Linked DNA regions of Arabidopsis thaliana. The protein of the gene in region 1 interacts with the protein of each later gene in a pairwise test. Each region holds a gene or a part of one and is shown on either strand. Other genes may lie near its edges.

The links. The genes of interacting proteins can lie anywhere in the genome.
Region 2: the proteins of NTL9 (region 1) and AT1G16950 interact in a two-hybrid assay, tested with the Arabidopsis thaliana proteins (one large-scale study listed by BioGRID).
Region 3: the proteins of NTL9 (region 1) and AT2G14860 interact in a two-hybrid assay, tested with the Arabidopsis thaliana proteins (one large-scale study listed by BioGRID).

The regions. Positions count from the first base shown.
Region 1 is NC_003075.7:16,887,905-16,896,914, reverse strand, and holds NTL9 (NAC transcription factor-like 9), read left to right. Parts: upstream 1-6,113; 5' UTR 6,114-6,170; coding exon 6,171-6,336; intron 6,337-6,454; coding exon 6,455-6,963; intron 6,964-7,039; coding exon 7,040-7,387; intron 7,388-7,539; coding exon 7,540-7,815; intron 7,816-7,909; coding exon 7,910-8,029; intron 8,030-8,195; coding exon 8,196-8,381; 3' UTR 8,382-8,510; downstream 8,511-9,010. Other genes in the region: CST (Protein kinase superfamily protein), read right to left, coding at 1-294, 404-467; RKD5 (RWP-RK domain-containing protein), read right to left, coding at 2,050-2,271, 2,356-2,582, 2,726-2,991, 3,424-3,652, 3,754-3,908, 3,993-4,006; HMGB5 (high mobility group B5), read left to right, coding at 8,731-8,777, 8,860-8,946. UniProt on the Arabidopsis thaliana protein: Transcriptional activator activated by proteolytic cleavage through regulated intramembrane proteolysis (RIP). Calmodulin-regulated transcriptional repressor. Binds several synthetic promoters with randomly selected binding sites.
Region 2 is NC_003070.9:5,794,176-5,799,422, forward strand, and holds AT1G16950 (uncharacterized protein), read left to right. Parts: upstream 1-1,703; 5' UTR 1,704-1,907; coding exon 1,908-2,189; 3' UTR 2,190-2,491; downstream 2,492-5,247. Other genes in the region: AT1G16945 (F-box/FBD/LRR protein), read left to right, coding at 1-22. UniProt on the Arabidopsis thaliana protein: Extracellular signaling peptide that may regulate primary root growth rate and systemic nitrogen (N)-demand signaling.
Region 3 is NC_003071.7:6,384,825-6,391,288, reverse strand, and holds AT2G14860 (Peroxisomal membrane 22 kDa (Mpv17/PMP22) family protein), read left to right. Parts: upstream 1-1,620; 5' UTR 1,621-1,725; coding exon 1,726-2,040; intron 2,041-2,431; coding exon 2,432-2,660; intron 2,661-3,114; coding exon 3,115-3,239; intron 3,240-3,379; coding exon 3,380-3,469; 3' UTR 3,470-3,708; downstream 3,709-6,464. Other genes in the region: AT2G14870 (RNA-binding (RRM/RBD/RNP motifs) family protein), read right to left, coding at 1-117; AT2G14850 (transcriptional regulator of RNA polII, SAGA, subunit), read right to left, coding at 4,014-4,889.

The DNA of each region.
Region 1 (9,010 bases):
TACCAGAACCGACTCTGGAAGGAGCAAGAGTCGTGGCATCGACCCAACCTCTGTATACTTTCCCGAAACCTCCTTGACCCAACATCGAATCCGGTTTGAAATTCTTCGTCGCCGTCTTTAGATCCAGAAAGTTATAGACTTTGAGATTTGGCGATTCCAGTAGTTTACCGGAATCACTTATAATCCCAGTGGAAATATCGGAGAATTGGCTCTGTTGTCCGACGCTGCTGTTTGTTGTCGCGCCGGTGGTTGACGAGAACTCTGTTCCATTGCTGTGGTTGTTCGTTGTGGCTGCTTATCATTAACAAAGACAGAGAGAGAGAGAGAGATCAGAAAGTGTAGATCTTTTAGGTTTTATGCAAGAACCCAGAAAGAAAAACAACAACTTGTAGAGATTAAATACCATGACTATGGAGACCTGTTTTGGAAGGAGAGGAAGAAGAAAAGAACGAAATACAAGCACCCATCAATTTCTAATGAGCCTTCTCTTTCTTCTTCTTCTTCTTCTTCTTCTTCTTGTTTTACCAATTCAGACAAGAGCTAGTGGATATGGATCTCAAGTCAGTTGGTTTATTTGAGTTTTTATTGCTCGAGTTTAGAACTATTGAAAGAGGCAACGATGGGTTGCAAAATAATTTTGACTTAATTTAGATAACAAAATAAAATAAAGGGAGGAAAATTGGGGGTTGCTAGCGTGAACCGAAGAAGGGTTTTGGTCTACCTTTTCATTTTTTATGCATTTCTTTCTCATTTAAAAGAAATTAAAAAAAAACAAACGAAAATGCCAAGAAGATGGGACCAAAAAGAAGAATCATAGCCTAAGAGCCTTTTCTATCTATTTATGATCGTGTGATCTGAAAAAAATAATTGAGAATTTTGTTTTTACTTTGGAAATCTTTGAATTATTTGTAATTTTATTTCACATGTTTTTTTTTAATCACTGTCCACATCATTCAAAAAATAGTAGAGATGTGAAACCGTTAGGAAGTAAAAAGACTTTTGCTTGTGCCAGCAAAATGCTTAAAAGTCATCCTCTCAGTCACAGTGCTTGGACGTTTGTGTCTTTATGGAAATTTCTCATTCATTTCCACAAATATGAAAGTCATTCGACTTCTACTATAGTCTATAGAGCTGTTTCACAATTAGAAACACCAAAATTCTCCAATGGCAAAATTAGAATATATTTTTCTTTATATGAATGCGTAAGAGAAAAAAATTTCTTCACTTTGTCAGAGATGTTCGTAAGTTGGCCTTTTTTCAAAACATCATACTTTTCATTTTTAAATGATCATATAATATATAGATCTTTTTTTGTTTGGTCAAATATATATATATAGGCCTTTTAGATCAGAAAATAAAGTATTGTTATTTCTTTTTTAATATTAAAACAAAAAAAATGATCTTCACCAAAAAATAACAAAAAAAATTTTTGATCAAAAACACTGAAAATGACTTCAAAATGATACTTGACCACGTACAAAATGCCAGTTGCATGGAAAATGAAACAAAGAAAAACATTTTCTCATTTTCGTAAATATTGACGTAGGATCACACACACACGTATACACACTTGTAGACTTCGAACTTCTTTGTACGATACACGTTAATTGATGGTCTTCGTCGTGTGGACAGAGTCGTCGTAGATTTTCAAAGCACGAGCTGGGACCACTCAAGAACACACATAACCAATAGCCTTAAACAAAACTGGTCATCACACTTTTGAAAGTTTTTCTTGACTATGGATGGGTTAATTTGGATCAGTTCCTAAACCATGATTTGGGTTTGATCTTTCACCATTATATAAAGAAATTCGATCTTAATTGCTACCTAATTGCACTAAGAAAAAATAAAAGATTCAATTCTGATATCCGACCACAAAAAATCATGATACAAGAGTTCCTCTCTTCTTGGAACTTCTTATACCAAAAACAAACATGGCTTAGCATCATCTGTTAGACTTGTAACTAACATTTCTAAATACCAAAACGCTTCACAGAAACCCCTAACTAACTAATATATCCGATGTTACTGTTAAAGGACCTAAAGTCTTTAAGTGGAAGAGGAAGTGACAAGAGATTCTTGATTCTTCTTGGCTCTAGAAGCCCTGTGTCTTTTCTTGAAGTTTTCTTGTCTGAATTTTTTGGTTTCTATCCCTATCTCCATGAATGGTCTCTTCACTATATTTCTCTTCTCTGTCTCCAGTTTCTCCTGTTTCTTAGCTACCGCCATTGCTGCTGCTTCATTCTTTTCCTGCTGCTTCTCTGCTTCCCTCTAATCAATACCAAAACAAATCAATGCTTCTTTCAGTGAATTGATGTATTAGGATTGATAAAGAGAGAGAGAGAGAGAGAAGACCTGAAGATCGTGGATGAGACAGTCGAGAGATTTGATCTTCCTATGAGGCCACCGTGGAATCCCAAACTCTCTGCATTTCTTTTTCAAAACAGTGAGACCGACCTTGAGATTCCGAGAAGCTTCCACGATAGTGAGGTCAAAGTATTTTGAAAGCTCTTCTAAGGATAGTTCAGCAACATGTCTCGATGGTGTCCTCTTCTTCTTCTTCAAAATCTCAGTCTTAGCATCTGTGTTTTTACAATAACCCGAAATTAATCACCAAAATGCTTAAAACTGGACCTTGTACCAAAAAAAAGAGAGCTTAAAACTGGCCTAGAGTTATATATTATCTGGAAGGCAAGTCTATTGACATTTGAAGAAAGAGATTTACCTGATTCCGACTGTTCAGTTTTATCGTTTTCAAATTCCGAATGTTCGGTTTTTTCGTTTACAGATTCCTCGGATTCGGTTTCTGAATCAGGAAGGCAGTTAAGATCTTGTTTCAGAACGAGCTTTCGTGGTTTAGGCAGATCAGAGTTATAATATCCCTCTGTACTGCTACTGCATTGTTCTTCTTCATAAATCTTTGATGGTTTTAACTCGGAGATAAACTTGAGCTCGTTGGCTAAATTAGGGATGTCCTCCAGTTTGGGATTTCTATCAATAAAAAGAGCAAAAACATGTTTGGTTGCTAAAAATGCTCACAACTCAAGTAACACTACAATGTGCTTTTTTTTTAGTAAAATGTTAAGTTTTAGAACATCTATGAATTTCTTTTACCGAATACAGAGATAACAGAAGATCGAATTCTATGCAACACTACAATGTGTTATTGTTACAAGCCTATTTGTTCACAATTAGGTAATCTTAACTCATTCACTTTACATAGTCCATTGCTATTTTTGTGCCATTGTTGTCAAAATTTGACAGTCTTGGAGTCAATAAGACAGTAACACTATATAATCTACAATTCGATTCAAGAGACCTAATTCTAAAAAAAATCAATCTGTTATGTGAAAAATATAACAGCACCAAAAATTTTTAAAACAAAAACGTTCCGAATAATGAATGAGTCAAAACTGGCGTTACCTGGAAAGACAGAGAAGAGTAGGAAACCGAGGAAGCGAGTGATTAAACCGGAACACAAAGATACAACGCCACGTGCCAAAAACCGACCCTTCCGAGATCTCCGGTCGCCGGAAATCTTCCGAACGAAACAGAGGCTTCGCTTTCTTCTCTACATAACAGCTTTTGCTCTTGAACCAGAACTCTCTCTCAATCTCCACCGATTCATAGACATGCAAACTCCTCACCATCTCTGCATTAACAAAACCCATAGAAACAAAATAAAAACCATTTTTCAATCCGACCCGAGTCATTCCGACCCGATTCGAGATTCTAGTCAGAGTTTTGACTTACCTTTGCGGATGACGCTCTGGAAAACGGCGAGTGAGGTTAAGGAATGTGCCATGTCCGAAGAAGACCAAGAGTCGCAAAAGCAGAAGCCCAAGATTTTAACATAAAAAAGTTTTATTAATATATTTTTCTTTTTTTCCTTTTTTAGTGTGAAAAATCTGCAGAAGAATCCAAGGTTTTATGTACTTGAAGCGTTTGTCATTAAGTGAAAAGGCTCCAAGAAAAGTAGGTTAAAATTTTACCCTTGGTCCACCATCGAAATTACCAAAAAGGCAGAATATTCCGGAACGCACGTGTAGGCAAGCGGAGCGTGCGAGGGTAGTTATGTAAAATTAACAGTGGGAAGCGGGTTGCACCGAACCAAGCCCATGTAGCTAAACACTCACACGCGCGACGCATGTCTGAAAAGTGGTAATTGAATTTTGTTTAGAATGATTCTACAGAGGTTGAATTTGGTAAATGAATCAGAGGAATATTAAGCATTTGAGCATAATTTCCAATTTGGTCAGATTATGATATATGTAAATATGTCCATGATTCATTTTCTGTTTTTGGGTTCTCTTTGTTCATTTATTAAGTCATGGGCTGAAGTTTTCATATTTTAAGTCATGGGCTGAGTTCTCAAGGACTAAAACTGGTATTGATATTATGATCTGTTAAAAGCCAATTCATTTAAGGTGTTCAAAATCTAAACTGAATAATTGCGTTAAATTAAGCCGGACATGTTTCAATCAAAAGTCAATAGAATGTGTCAAAATACTCTGGGTACTTGGGTAGTATTAGTAACATTAACTTACAAGGATTTTTCTCTATATAAAAATACAGAGTACTAGTTTTGATTTTATCTGAGTGAGAACTTTCTAATAAAACTCTAATCGAAAACAATTAATATTTTGTATAAAATGGAGTGTAGAACCTAAATATTTTGTATTGCTTGGATATATAGTTTTTTTTCTTCTTAACATGGATATATAAGTTCTATTTCGTACATATTTCCCCTAATTTTAATGTTGAATTTTGGAAAACTTTTGTTGGATAGTGACATGAAGACCCTAATTTTAATCATAACATTTTGGAAAACTTGATTGGGTGAGTGATATGGAGGTGATGTTAACGTATGTTTGGTATCAATAGTTGGTCCAATTAGGCCCAAAGAGTCAAAAAAGGTGCCCAAGTGTTGTCAAAAGAGAAAACAATTAAGAATAGGGCAAAGCTTGGCCAGCAAGATTTAGTGGTCATTTCCTAGAAACGTGTCCAAGAATTTATAAAGATGGGTTGTCTTATAAATACATATCGTTCACGTAATTACCTGAGATCAAATCTTAATCATATCATTCATCGTATATAGACTCCAAACACGTTTTTCAAACTCCTATGATCATGTGTTCTCTCTTTGCCTCCGTCTTTGATTGCTTTGTTCCAAAATCAGACTCAAAGATTAGCTCAACTGATGAGAGTGACTTGAAAGTCCTGTCCTCAAAGAAACCAAAAAGCAAATCCCCGAGAGCTCCGATTATGGTGTCTTACTTTCCCGCCGGTTCAAACCTTTCGCGTCTATAAGTGCCAAATAGAAGAGAAGAGAAGATGAAGTATTGGGATGTTGATTTTGATATAAACGAAAGAAGTTTTTGGTTGTAGACATGTTGTATGCGCAGGCTTTAATTTTATGTTTTATTTAATTATGTACAAATAGACCATTTAGATTGATAGCATCATATATATGCTTTGTATTTAAGACCAAATAAAAGATTAATGTTTATATACATGCGTAAAAATGTTAAGAGCTTAGTTAGTATCATTTTCAAAAACTGATTGTCACTTGAGCTTTTATTTTTCTTATTTTTTTAATTAAGAAAAGTTGTGGCCCTCAAAAAGTTACATGGAATCGGAACAGGAAAAAAAAAATGTCGAAAACTGATTAATCTAGGCAACGTTATCGCATTTTCATATCTTACAAATCCCTTTTTCAATTCAGATTTGGTAGAAATGCAAGGAGAGTTCCATAGTGTATATGTAAAATTTGTATAAAACGTCTAGAAGAATTACAATGCTGAATTTGTTGGAAGCTCTGTTTTTCTCTGCTTAGACGTTTCCAACGTGTTTTGGGTTTCTCTGATCACTGTAAAGCCTAAACCACAAGAGAAGAAAAACCACGAAGCTTTGGGCTTTAAGGCCTTTTTGGGCCCTAGCCACAATAATGGAAGCCTATCAAGAAAAGACAAGACAAGACAATAAGACAGAAGAGGACAAGTGTTTAAAGTGGAAGTTATCTTTCTCACGTGGTCTAAAGAAAGGTTAAAAAAAAAGAGGGAAAAAAAAAAGAAGATGAGAGAAAGCAAAGTGTTGAAGACTTTTTAGAAAGCAGAAAAAAAAGCAGAGAGTGTATTCAAAGTCGGAAAGAAACCCTAAAGAAGAGGATTATGGGTGCTGTATCGATGGAGTCGCTTCCTTTAGGTTTCAGATTCAGACCTACCGATGAAGAGCTCGTCAATCACTACCTCCGTCTCAAGATCAACGGACGTCACTCCGATGTCCGTGTCATCCCTGATATCGATGTCTGCAAATGGGAACCTTGGGATCTTCCTGGTTCGTCTCTTTATTCTCTCAAAATTTGATTCCTTTTATTCTCAGATTCTGTTTTCCCTCTCAAAGATTCCACCTTTTTTTTCTTTACTCAATTGGAAACAAATCTGATTGTCGGCAGCTCTCTCGGTGATTAAGACGGATGATCCAGAGTGGTTCTTTTTCTGCCCTCGTGATCGGAAATACCCTAATGGTCATCGCTCTAACAGAGCAACTGACTCTGGCTATTGGAAAGCTACTGGTAAAGATCGTAGCATCAAGTCTAAGAAGACTTTAATCGGTATGAAGAAGACTCTTGTCTTCTATCGTGGACGAGCTCCTAAAGGTGAGCGGACTAATTGGATTATGCACGAGTATCGTCCCACTCTTAAGGATCTTGATGGCACTTCCCCTGGCCAAAGCCCTTACGTTCTTTGTCGCCTCTTCCACAAGCCTGATGATCGGGTTAATGGTGTCAAGTCCGATGAAGCAGCTTTTACGGCCAGCAACAAATACTCACCTGATGATACATCATCTGATCTTGTTCAAGAAACACCTTCCTCTGATGCTGCTGTTGAGAAACCATCAGATTATTCAGGTGGATGCGGTTATGCTCATAGTAATAGTACCGCAGATGGGACAATGATTGAGGTATGAATGGAAACTCTTGAATAATTAATTAGGCTTTTTTGAGTGACTTGACTAATTTTGAGTTTTGTGTTCATAGGCACCTGAAGAGAATCTTTGGTTATCTTGTGACCTTGAAGATCAAAAGGCACCACTACCGTGTATGGATTCTATATATGCTGGTGATTTCAGTTACGATGAGATTGGATTCCAATTTCAAGATGGTACCAGCGAACCAGATGTATCACTAACAGAATTGTTGGAGGAGGTGTTCAATAACCCTGATGACTTCTCTTGCGAGGAATCGATCAGTCGAGAGAATCCAGCAGTCTCACCAAATGGGATATTTTCATCTGCTAAAATGCTGCAGTCTGCAGCACCAGAGGATGCTTTCTTCAACGACTTCATGGCTTTCACTGATACAGATGCTGAGATGGCGCAATTGCAGGTGAGCACAAAGATACATATTTTGAGGCCTATACAATTTTAGAAGTATCCAAATTATTTTGCTTTAAGTAGGCTAGAAACCTCTAGATCAGTTATCTTTACAATCACTCTTGACATAAGTAAAATGACAATTTTTATCTTTTGTTTGATCAGTATGGTTCAGAAGGTGGAGCTTCTGGTTGGCCAAGTGACACTAATTCATACTATAGTGATTTGGTTCAGCAAGAGCAAATGATCAATCATAACACAGAGAACAACCTCACAGAAGGGAGAGGGATAAAGATCCGGGCTCGACAGCCTCAGAACCGGCAGAGTACAGGATTGATAAACCAGGGTATTGCTCCAAGGAGAATCCGTCTGCAGCTGCAGTCTAACTCTGAAGTAAAAGAACGAGAGGAGGTGAATGAAGGACACACTGTTATTCCCGAGGTACGAGACTAGTGATTCCAAAAGTTGTGTCTTAGACATCAATAACATAAAGGATGCATCTTTTTAATTTGTTGTTAATGGTGGGGATGTGCAGGCCAAAGAAGCTGCAGCTAAATACTCAGAGAAGAGTGGTTCTTTGGTTAAACCTCAAATAAAGCTCAGGGCGCGGGGAACTATAGGCCAAGTAAAAGGAGAGAGATTTGCAGACGACGAGGTAAGAATGAGTGAACTTGTTTACACATGAATGAAGAAAGAGTATAGTAGTAAGCTCTACTAAATACTATAGAATTAGAAAGAAAAAAAAGAGAAAGCAATCAGTAGAGCATGTGAGATCAGCTAGTAATGATAAAAGAAACTGAGAAGTATCTTTGTCTAAAGAGAAGTTTGTTGTGGTTACAGGTACAGGTGCAGAGCAGAAAGAGACGAGGAGGGAAGCGATGGAAGGTGGTTGCAACGGTAATGGTGGCTGTGATGGTTGGGGTAGGGATGGGTATATGGAGGACACTGGTGAGTTCATGACACATGAGACACAAAGAGAGAGAGAGAGAGAATCAAATGTAGTTTAATGTAATTAGGGATGATGCAATGTTAGCATGTTTGTGTGTTGTAACTTAAAAACTTATTTAGGAATCTGATAAAAGTTACTGTTGAATTTACACGGATGGTCAAGATTAAATGTACCAACATCTTAATTATCTACGGTCAAGATTAAAAATACCAACATCTTAAATTAACACCGCATCAAAGAATTATCTCAATCGTCGTCTCTCCCCAATTCAAAAAAAGAAATAACCTAAACGTGTTCACACAGAGGTAAGCTCGCTCCTACTCGCCGCCTCATCTGAGTCAACTCCGAGTCAGCTATTTTTCCCCACCGGATTCTCACTTTTGTTCCTCTCTGTGACAGATCTCGAGATGAAAGATAACCAAACGGAAGTTGAATCGAGGAGCACTGATGATAGGTATCTTTATATTTATCCGTAATCTCGATTCTTAGATTCAATTTGTTTCCGTAGTTTTGAAATCGTCTTTTATGATTCTCAGATTGAAAGTTAGAGGGAACAAAGTTGGAAAGAAAACAAAGGATCCAAACAGGCCTAAGAAACCACCAAGTCCTTTCTTCGTCTTCCTGTAAATAAAAATCACTAATCTCTCTTCTTCTTTTTTCTTCACTAATTTGATTACAGTAATTAAT
Region 2 (5,247 bases), on another chromosome or scaffold:
ACATCAAGTAAGAGAAAATTAACAAAGTACTTTGTAGAAAATGGTGCAGCTCTCAAGAAACTGACAGTAAGTGCCTGTTTCTGTAACATCATCGACGAAATCAAAGCGATTCCAAGAAGCTCTACGAGTAGTCAAGTTGTCATGGATTAATTGAGCCAGCTTGTGAGGTCTATCGTCTCCGATAAATCCAGTTTTGTATCCGATGATGATCTACAGAGCAGGGTTTCTACTCTCTGTTGGTGTTATAAGAATTAAGAATGATAAAACATTAAAACCAGATGTGCTATTAGATAAAAATATCTTATTTTTATTGGGACGATGATATGATATTCTTTTATTTATTTTTATTGGGACGATATATTTTTTGTTTTTACGTAAATCTTGGTTATTATAGAATTTGGATTTTCAAGTTAAATTAACCTTCTCAGTTGACCTTTAAATAGCCGCATTCACGTGAAATACGTGATCAAGACTCACAAACCCTAAGCAGAGTAGGGTGATCTGATCGTCGTTCCTTGCTCAGTACTCTTTCGTGATTCTTTGTTTGACTCTGAATTTTTCATCTTTTTTTTTCAACTCTGGGTAAAATCAGACATACGTTTTCAACAGATCTGTGTTTATAATATAGTACTCTTCGATTTTTTTTTTATCATACAATGCAGAAGTTATAGATGATGACTGAGAAGAAATCTGTTGGTTATAATATAATCAAAGATATGATTAACTAATTACGAGATTGTTTGCTCTATGATTTACTTTTCAATCTTCCCACGGAGGATGTACTGTAGTTATATATTTTTGACTTTTTTGTTTGTTTTAATTTCTGATAATAGTTGTAGTTATTGTTCTTATAGTGTAATTACATTTGTCATTTTTATTAATACGGACTCGTGTGGTATATGGTTCGTGTAGTTGTACCTCCTTATAATGGAAGATAATAATGCTAAATCTATGATACATATATATTCAACCAAATTCTGATGTATCATTAATTTTGGGTTTATATTTTTACTAGAACTTCAATAATAGAGAACTTTGACCAAAAAAAAAAAACTTCAATAATAGAGAACAAGAGGTATGAAAAGTAATATGTTTAAAGCATATAATTGTGTGCCACGGATAAAATTTTGCTATAAACAGTAAAACACACAAAACTCCAAAACAACAGAAAGCAATGCTTTCAACAAAGCACTCATACAATAGTATTGAACCACACTGATAATGAGCCATAGAAATAAGTGGTCATCGATATTTATATTTTGCTAAATAAGTAGTCATCGAGATCACTTCATCAACTTTTATCGTCTCTTATGGAACATCTCAGTCAGCAACTTAGCAAGACATTGAACAATTTTTTTTTTTTTTTTACCACCTAACAAACAAAATATTTAACTGAATACAAACAACTAATTATTTTATATACCGTTTTATAGTGGTGATCAAAGTAAAGACAAAACAAAAACCAAAAAGAAGATATACATATATATTTTATATGACATTTATGTTGTATAAAACTCAATTCTGCTATTTTGATATTATTGTTAAATTATCATATTCAGATAAGCAATGAAAAGCATGTAACGTGAAAGTGTTTTTGTCTGCTGCTTGGAATTATAACATACACTTTGTCAAAAAAGAAAGAAAAAAACACCTACATATATGCATTGATCCATCAATTACAAACATAAACACTTTATATATACGAACTCACCAATTTAGTTCATTTGTACCTAACCCAAATAAATTTCCATTGACCTCATCCATCTCCTGTTCTCTCTATATATATCCACTCTATCAAAGTATTCACTCACAGAAACACAACCAAATCCCAAAAAATAAACTAAAAATTTCTTGCTTCATAACTAATTAATTAATATCTAAAATTATACAACAAAATCAATCAGGTAATGGCTCGTCCAAGGATCTCCATTTCGATGATTTGCTTACTCATTTTGATTGTTGGTTTTGTCTTGCAATCTTCTCAAGCTAGAAAAGTTCTAGTCCCTTACGGCACAAGCAAGGGTTTGTTTCTTAGTGCCCTACCCAAGGGCAATGTACCACCTTCGGGTCCAAGCGACAAGGGTCACACTTCTCCTCCGGATGATACCGACCAGCGTATGGTACCAGAAAACTCGCCGGAGATATACCGTCGACTAGAATCAGTCCCTAGCCCCGGCGTGGGTCATTAGGCACATTAATTGATTGTCGTCTTTTCACTTCATATATGTTGACATGTTGTCGAATTCTATTCACAATGATATCATATACCGTTCGTAAGTCTTCTCAAGAATGTTTGTGTATGTGTGTCTTCATATATAATTGATATAGATATGTTTGTGTGTGATCCGATCCGTTATTGAGTAATAAAAAACCACTATTCTACACTTTGATTTATCATTTATTCAATTATATATGTTGTCGAATATTGCAGATCTCTATATGTAACGACATACAGCTTTTGTCCGTTTGAAAATATTATGTATTTAGAGAAAACTTAGTTTAAATGATATTCTTATGACTTATTTGTCAATTATCGCTTAGAAAAACCGAAGTTATCAAAACTATTTTTGTCATATCAATTTTTTTTCTTGCATTAAAGAGATTGAGTTCATGTGTACACTTTCTTTTATAATTAAAAAAATTATATTCTCAAAGTATCAGAAAATTTGATTAAATCCTCGTTTTATTTTCGATAGTGTGTATTTAGAAGAACTACATTCTTAATTTGGTAAAAAAATTCATTTGTGGGTATAAATAATATAAGGCTATTAATAGTTGCCCAATTGTAGTTCACACGGTGTCCAAAGAATACTATAGACTCAAAGGGACAAATTACATCATACGATTTTTACACAAATATAAACATGAACGTACGATTGGTGCCCACCATAATCGATACAATGTAAAAAGGTTGCGTACGTAAATCATATTCTTCATGAAGAAAGCTACATATAAAGCCTGTAACTTAGAAAGTAAACAATAATTCAAAAGCTTCGTTTTGACATCTTCGTAGAAAAAGTTGATGATTTGACAATAATTATGTCTGTTTACGTAAGAGACGTCTTCCTCTCTCCAGTTGACATTTTTGTTTAGTGAAATTGAATAGATTCAGGGTTTCGACTAAAGAGAAGAAGAAGAAGAAGAAAAAAGAAAAGAGAAAATAGACATGCAATAATATAAGGAACACCATTATTGCTCATCTCAGGGATTATACTATTTAAGGACTTACTTTTTGCCAAGAAGCTCTTTCCTCACTTTCCTTTTTTGTATTTTCTTAATAAGTTTAACTAACCAACTAGTAGTAAGATGGAGCCGCTTGTTATACACATTCAATGCATGTGTATATCTTTAAGTAGTGTTTTTTTGTTTGTCAAGTGATAATAATTACTAACTTCAAGTAGTTTTTTTTTGTTTTTGTTTATATATAGTTAAATGTATACAATATAATATATATAGACTGTATTAGAATATATTCATAATGATCATTATCACGAATGGTGTTTGTGTTTGCCATTGGACGGCTGCGAGAGAAAAGACGAGTAAGAAGAAAAATTTAGGTCTAGGAGCTTTATTGCTCTGATTCCATGATTATAGAAGTGATGATTTTATTATAATACAGAGATGAGCTTATATACAAAGAGAGATATCTAGGGTATTACAATCAAAGTAAATGTGAATATATGACTATAGATAAATAGACTAATGATTGATATAATCAAAGATATGAATATTATCTAATAGACTGTAGTGAAAATCCTAGACACAAATATTTCTATTAAAATTTTACTTCTAATAATAATTAAAAAAAAAATTGGGATATTCCTATGACTTTCCATATGTAACGTCATGTCACATAAAAGTGTTGAAAATGGAAATCCTTACTTTGAATTTAACTCAAGAAAATTTTAAAATCATATTGTCGAGTTATATAACCCAAAACTAGTAGGTTTAGATAAATATTACATGACACGCTAATGTTATATCAAAGCATGAATTCTGCTGTCAGATGAATGTGGTTACAATCTCAAAATCATGAAAACTGTTGAAAAAGTCATTTATAAAATGTTTTGCTTCCAAAACCCAAAGCTAAAGTTTAAATCGTTCAATGGGTCATTATCATACATTAGTCTACATAAATCTTGGTAAATTTGCACTATTATAGATTCGTTTGAAACTTGTGAACCACGTTAATTTCATTATCAGCAAATGAATTGTACCAATTTTTTATACCATTGGTGCGTCGTTGTTATAGAACAAAATCCATTATTTTCGCTTCATATTCTTTGACAATGATGTATCGAAGTTCACTTCACTTTACCTGGTAGAGTTGTTAAGTGTTAACTAAGACATTGGCCATCTTTATTTGACATTACCACAAAATAAAGTAAAACTAAAACTTATGATTTTGCACTCCGTATGAAACGGCACGGTTGATAGAAGCGGATAGTTACGGGCCTTACAGGCTTATAAGCCCAAAATTTTCAAGCTAAAAGCCCAAAAATACAAAACTGGCTTGTTGCAAGTAGTCGCTCTTGAAACAGCGTGAGTTTCCAATTAAAACAATTAGATGAGTACCCGCACGTAGTGCGGGTGTATGTATTATTATTTACAAATTGTTTTATATAATGTTTGTTCATATAAAGTAAAGTTGAATGCATCGGTTTTGAAACATAAATATGATTTGTAATTGTTTTTAAAAAGTCCAACTATATTAGTTCATTTGAAAAACGAATGTGCTTGAGTTCTTTTTTATTGTTGTTTTAAATTCTCAGTTTTTTTTTAATTTATATATCTTTGTTTTTGGTTATAAATGTAAATTGTGAGACGGTGAAATTTTAGAAAATTTATTTCTTACACTATAAATATACCATGTCTTTATTAACCATGTCTCTGCATATTCAATCTAAGCTTATTCAACTTGATGTTCTTGAAAAGTTTAGTTAAGTTCTTGTTATAATCTTATATCTTACGTTTTAGTTATAAGGATGGCTCCTCAAACATCTTTCAAATTATTTGTTTTCTTAGCATAAATCTCGAAAAGCTTAGATATATTTAATCTGCATATTCATTTAGTTTCTTTCATAATAATCGTCTAATTTTTAGGCAAGTAATATATGTAGCATGTTTGGATTTTTAGCCACTTAAGTGGATCTCGAAATTAAAGAGGATATATTGAATTAAAAAATGTAGAAAAAGTGATGGTTCAAGTTCTGATTAATTATATTCTTTATGTTGAATTAATTACTA
Region 3 (6,464 bases), on another chromosome or scaffold:
AAGATCGTACGTATCTTCGCTTGTTATGCTAAAGGGAAGGTTACAAATGTAGAGTAGGCGAGTCACCTCCGGTGGGAGCCTGGGGTTTTGTTTATCCTTTCCCGTGCGAGGAGGCATTGTGGTACCTTCTCTTCTTCCTTTAGCCGGAGAGAAAAAAAACTTCTCATGGAAAAAAGAAAATTTTAGTGTGATTTCGATAGACGCACGTGAGAATTTTTTTATAGGGAAAAAAAGGAAAAAGATATTAAACCGTCATTAATTGATCATAGGCAAAGGAGAAATTATTGACGGTGTTGTGTAAATCATTAAACCCAACTACCCAAAGGAACCTACCGAACCTATAATTTGTAACTAGTTTGATGGCACTGCTAATTGAGGAATGGACATTTTAACCAAACCGAACCGAACCAAACAGAACCGACCCAAACCAAATCCAATCTTAGACTCAAACTATTCAGTTATGTTTCTTCTCACTCAACTGAAATGGTTCGGTTTGGTTTGTTTTAAACCAAACCGAACCAATAACCTTATATGTTTATTTAATTAATTAATTAGTAATATTGTATATTAGTACATATGTAATTATTTGTAGTTTAATTTTTTTTTTGGTTTATTTGAAGGGTGAATTAGGTGAAAAACCATTCTAAATAAAGTTATTAAATATCTAACACTATAATATGCATAATTCATTGAATAGCACATGTGAGGTGTAAAAATACAACACACTCCTTCCTACTCGTAAGTCCGTTGTCTTCTATGCTCGTGAGGATAATTCAATATCTTATTGTTGTCTTCACTACCGAACGATTCTCCACCAATTCACAATCTAAGAAATTGCACATTAAATGATGAAAAGATGGGAAAAAAAAAAATTGGTGAAGAATCGTTCGGTAGTGAAGGCAACAATAAGATAAAATCGTTTGGGTCCTTCGATCTCTCTGAAGCAGATCTACAATCAGTATTAATACTAAGGCTAGGGTTTGGTTAAGAAGAAGAAATAGTGGCCATAACAAAATAAATATGAAGGAATCATGAGATATATAGAAAAAAGAAGGAGATGAGAGACTATAGAAAACACAGAAGATACATGAAAAGTATGTTTGATGTTTACATAAAGGGTACAATAGTCCAAATTACAGAATATACAAAGAATATTACATACATTTTGTTTTTGGTTAGTTACCTAATTAAAGTTTTTTTAATGTTATGTACAAATTTCCCTTATTTGAATTATTCAACTTAAATTTTGCAACTTGAACTTGTTGCTTAACTTAACTATGATCAAATTCAACGTTCAAACAATAATGAACGAAATAGTTTTGTTTCGTTATATTGATTCGTCTTTCAGAACCGAATTAAAATCAAACGAACTAAAAACAAACCAAACCGAACATAGATTGACCCAAACCCAAACCAAACCATACTAACTTCAACTACTTTCGGTTGAGTTTGGTTAGAATTTTACAAAACCCAAAAAACCGAACGGAACCAAACTCAAACCGAATCCGAAGTTAAACCTAAATGCCCACCCCAACTAATTCCATAAAGTGGTTGAGTTTTTTGGCCATTTATACCGGATATTTTGGGTAACTCGGTATATGTACGGTTTAGCTAAACCGACTGAAACTACTTAAATTGGAAAAATCTATCAATTTTTTGCAGTCATCATCAAAGCTTTCTGATACCTGAACAACAACAACAACCCCTAAAATCTCGGAAGCCATAATGAGCAGAGCATTGTTCAGGAACGTAGCCGTCGACACCGCTCGGCTCATACGGCGGAACGCGGCGGCGTCAACAGACCAATATGGTAAGACCGGAGTTGCTCAATCGAGACCTTATTTCCGGTCACGTCAGCTTCTCGAAAGAGCAAAAGAAACAGGAGTCTCACCTTCTCCTTCTTTGGGTTTCTCTTCTTCTTCATCTCCGTCGAGGATTGGGTTCGTTGGATGGTATCTTGGTATGGTTAAATCACACCCAGTTGTGACCAAAAGTGTCACTTCCTCTCTTATTTACATTGCCGCCGACTTGTCTTCTCAGGTACTAACTTAGCAATTGGCTTTTACTGGAAAAAGGAGTTTCCTTTTCCAATTATGGTAGCTAAAAATTACGTCTTTTTGTGAAATTTGTACTCTTTAGCTATGAGATTCACAAATATAAAATGGCTTAAGTTTTGTTTGGGAGATGTTTCTAGGTCTTTGATACTAATATCAAACAGTAGGAGAAGTAAAGTTTGGTTTTTTATTGGAGGAATGAGACTTCTTGAAATGGTGATTTAATTAGCTCTGTGCAATGTGAATTTTGAGGAGTTCTATTAGCTACGGTTACGTTTCCTTGTAGTGTGTTGGTTTTTTGGAGCTTTCTACAGTGTGAGTACTTGCTCTTAAGAGCTGACGTTGGTTGGTTCATTTTGTTTTTGATCTTTGTATAGACGATTGCGAAAACTTCTTCTGAGTCTTATGACTTGGTGAGAACAGCAAGGATGGGAGGATATGGTTTATTTGTCTTGGGTCCAACACTTCACTACTGGTTCAATTTCATGTCAAGACTCTTTCCTAAACAAGATTTGATCACAACGTTTAAGAAAATGGCTATGGGACAGACGATCTACGGGCCTATTATGACTGTTATTTTCTTCTCATTGAATGCATCCCTACAAGGTAAAGCTCCTTGTATATATCTAAGAACAGGATTGTGTTAGGATAGGAAGAAACAGACTAACCCGTTTAACATATCTTTTCGTTCTTCTATTGTCTCAATTCAGTTGAAAATTCTTCACAAAATTGTGATATCGTCCAACTCTGAAGTTTATCTATTGTGAACTGTTGCTTGCCATTACAGTTTTACTCAACTCTTAATCAGTTTTGCTCGTGGCTAGTATGTGTCAATGGTGAGAATGATAAGTGGTGATTGATTGGTTATTTAGATAAGAAGAAACCCGCAATCTCGAATTAACAAAACTGAGAGAATGTAGTTTCTGCTCTTAGTTTTACTCTGAATTACATAGGTTTTATAACAAGTCGCCTCTCTGCTTCTTGAATTCATTTCTTGATGTCAGATTTGTTTGATCTTGGACATGTTCTAAGCTATTCTGCTTTTCCGATATTTGTTCAGGGGAACGCGGTTCAGTTATACTTGCCAGATTGAAAAGGGACTTACTCCCCGCGCTCTTTAACGGTGTCATGTATTGGCCTCTATGTGATTTTATCACATTCAGATTCTTCCCTGTTCATTTACAGGTAATCCTTTTGACTCGCCATTCTTGTGTTCAAGACACAAAACAAAAAAGACAATCCTTTTACGTTCTCCATTACTTTTTGTGTTCTTGCTGCTTATCTCAGGATGCACTCACTCTGCTCTTGCTTTTATTTCCATGCAGCCTCTTGTAAGCAACTCATTTTCGTATGTATGGACTATCTACATGACTTACATGGCAAACCGTGAAAAACCAGTCGCAATTTCAACCTGAAACACTCACATATCTTCTACATCGACTCGGGCAATGCCTCCCTTAGTGCTCAGTTATCGCCACATCAAACTGCAATGAGCATTCTTCAAAATTATTCTGTACTGTCTGTAGAATTAGGTTGTTACAATGTAAGAGCTTGGAAGAACTTCTCATGTCAGACATGTATATCACGAAGTAATGAAGTTTTGTTTCCTCTTATTTGTCTAAGTTATGTTCTGCTTCACTGAAATGTAAGAGGAAAGAGTCTATGCAACTGCTAAAACTTTCTTTTGCTTTCATGGAAAATTTGTTACATTAGACGTGAGGAAAAAATACAGAAAAAAGTAAAGATATCACCTAAACAAATGGTATTTAAACTATATTATATCTATCAGAACTTGTACAATCCCAAGAACCTTTGTTTCCCATTCAAAGCTTCCTCAAGAAATTTCTAATTGCAATTCCACTCAAATCCAAAGGAAAGAATCTCAGGCAAAGGAACCAAATCTGTCAATCAAATATGATAATCGGTGTATCGCTAAATTACGGCGTTTTTTCTACAACTTTACTCTTCAGAAGCACGGCAACAGATCTTTTCTAGCTGTATAGGCCATTCCTCTCCAAGAACCCGGGGATTAACCTCCATGGCGGCATGGAAATCCAACATCGATACATTAGACACCGCTCGCTTTTGTTGACTTGCTAAACTCAAACAAGGCTCGATCAGCCTTCTCATATATGCATTCAACCCACGATTAAGAAGATTAGCAGAGTCCATAGATAACTTTATCCCTTCCATCTCCAATTTCTTCTCTAACCGAGCTCTCAATGTTATCATATCAGGTAACTCCCCGCTGCTTTGACACGTCTCACGGTTGATACCATTGTACGTACTAAATCTAGCTTTGCTCTTAAGATGGAAAGAAACACCGAGTGGAGCGGTTAAGGGGCTTCTGCTTTGCACACTCGGACTACCCGTCATTTGCTCAACTTCTTCTCCATCTTCAACAGAGACAACTTCCATAGGAAGTCTTTGAGCCTTTGACATTGACTCATCATTCGTAGTAGTGAGACTTTGAGGCTTCCCAAGTGGACCAAGAGGACTAGGCCGGTCTCTAAACTTCCTCGACCTGCATTTCCTCGGCGAAGGAGGAAACACGGGATCCCCGTAAAGAGATTTCTTCGGATACCTCGGCGGTGGAGACTTAGCAACACTTGCATTCTTCAGAATCGAACGTACAAGACGGTTGTGTAGAGAAATGTTCTCTCTACCAACCGTCTTGCTACATAGCTTATCGAACTCGGACTTGCTTATCCTCGAGGTAAGGAATTTTCCGAGCTGGTCGAAGTAAGTGTCAGCTCTCTGATGCCCAATTTTCTGATAAATTAGGGCTTTAATCTCAAGTGAATTCAATCTCGAAAAACATTGATCTGACCCCATCTTCCAACAAATTTACACCTGAACTTAATCCAAATCCAGCTTCATTCAAAGATCCAGCGAAACTGGTCTCTTCTCTCAATTCCAAGACCTAAAAAACCCCAATTCAAAATCAAAGACATACATTAATTCTTGAGATCGAAGTAAGAGAAGAAGAAGTTCAGGTAGATAACCTGAGCGAGCTAGAGCAAATACGTTGAACAAATTGACTAACTAAGAAAGTAAAATCAAACATAAATTTCTGAAAGAGTCGGTGAAGAATCGTAATTTCGGACAAATTCTAGGAAGAAGGAAGAGAGATTTGAGAAGATCCGAGGTTTATAAAGTATTAAGAAGCTTTATCGAAGAAACAGTGAAATCAATCGAAATTGACTTGAGGAAAACGAAACCCAGAAAGGTAAATCGAAGATTGAAGGATGAATTAAGAGAGTAAGTACGTACCAGTAGAAGAAGCGATTGATTTAGCCGCGAAATTGGGTTTTGTTGTTGTTGAAGAAGAAGAAGAAGTGTTTTTTCTTCGCTTTGTTTTGTGCCCTAAAGGGATTTTTTGTTTTTCCTTTTTGTTTATCGAAAGTGTTCGCTTGTGTTTTGTGTTTTCGTACGTGCGAATTGTGATGACCAAACAAGAGTTGACGGAAGAAATAAACCTCGTTAACTCTTTTCCGTTAGTAGTTCGGACAGTCACACACGTGCGAATTTTTTTTATTTTATTTTTCTTGTTTTTCAGTTCTTTTCAATTTCTTAAATTTTTTTAAAAATATGTTTTTAAAATTAGATGAATGTATTACAAAGAGTAGGATTTAAAAGTCTCAAAGTTTAAAACAAAATATAGAGAGGTACTCTCCAATGCCATAAAAAAAGATAACTAAATAAATAAATATAAATTTTATGAGAGTTTTGAGACTAAAGTTAGAAAACGGTTTGACATATGTAAAATTCCAGTTAGTCGAAAGATCTCCTACGAACAGATTAATAGCCGATATGGTGGTTACTATCAAAAGATGAAATGACGTTGATGAAAAAATCATAGCCATAATTAGCTCCAACACGAGAAAAGAGGTACATGAAGTAGTGCAAACAGGGGTAGACCCACACTGATTAAGGAGACAGCCGCCACCACTAACTTTTTGATTTTATTTTAATTTGAAGGTAACTTTTATAGAATTTATATTATATCCCTATAAGAAATTCAAAAATTTCCCTCATCTTCCAAGTGAGATTACTTTCAAACTCTAAAGCTCATATTACTTTATTTTGTTAGTAGCTCATTTATAGGTTTTCCAAATTGAAATAGATTATTTGACTCCCAATTAAAACTAAAAATTTAATTTAGAATCCAAGTCTTGGTTTGTTCTCTCGTTTCTTCTTATATTTTAAAAGTTAAAACAAAAATCGTTGAGTGAATTATATATTTTTAATAATTATTGTCGTATTGTAAATGTAAAATTTTGAAGGTTTCAGTTTTGATTTTAGTTTTTTATATCGATATCTTGTCTCGTTTGCTATATTAAAAATGAATTGTTTAAATCTATCATTAAAAAATTTGAAAAAAAATTCAAAATGATAAGTGAGCGTAAG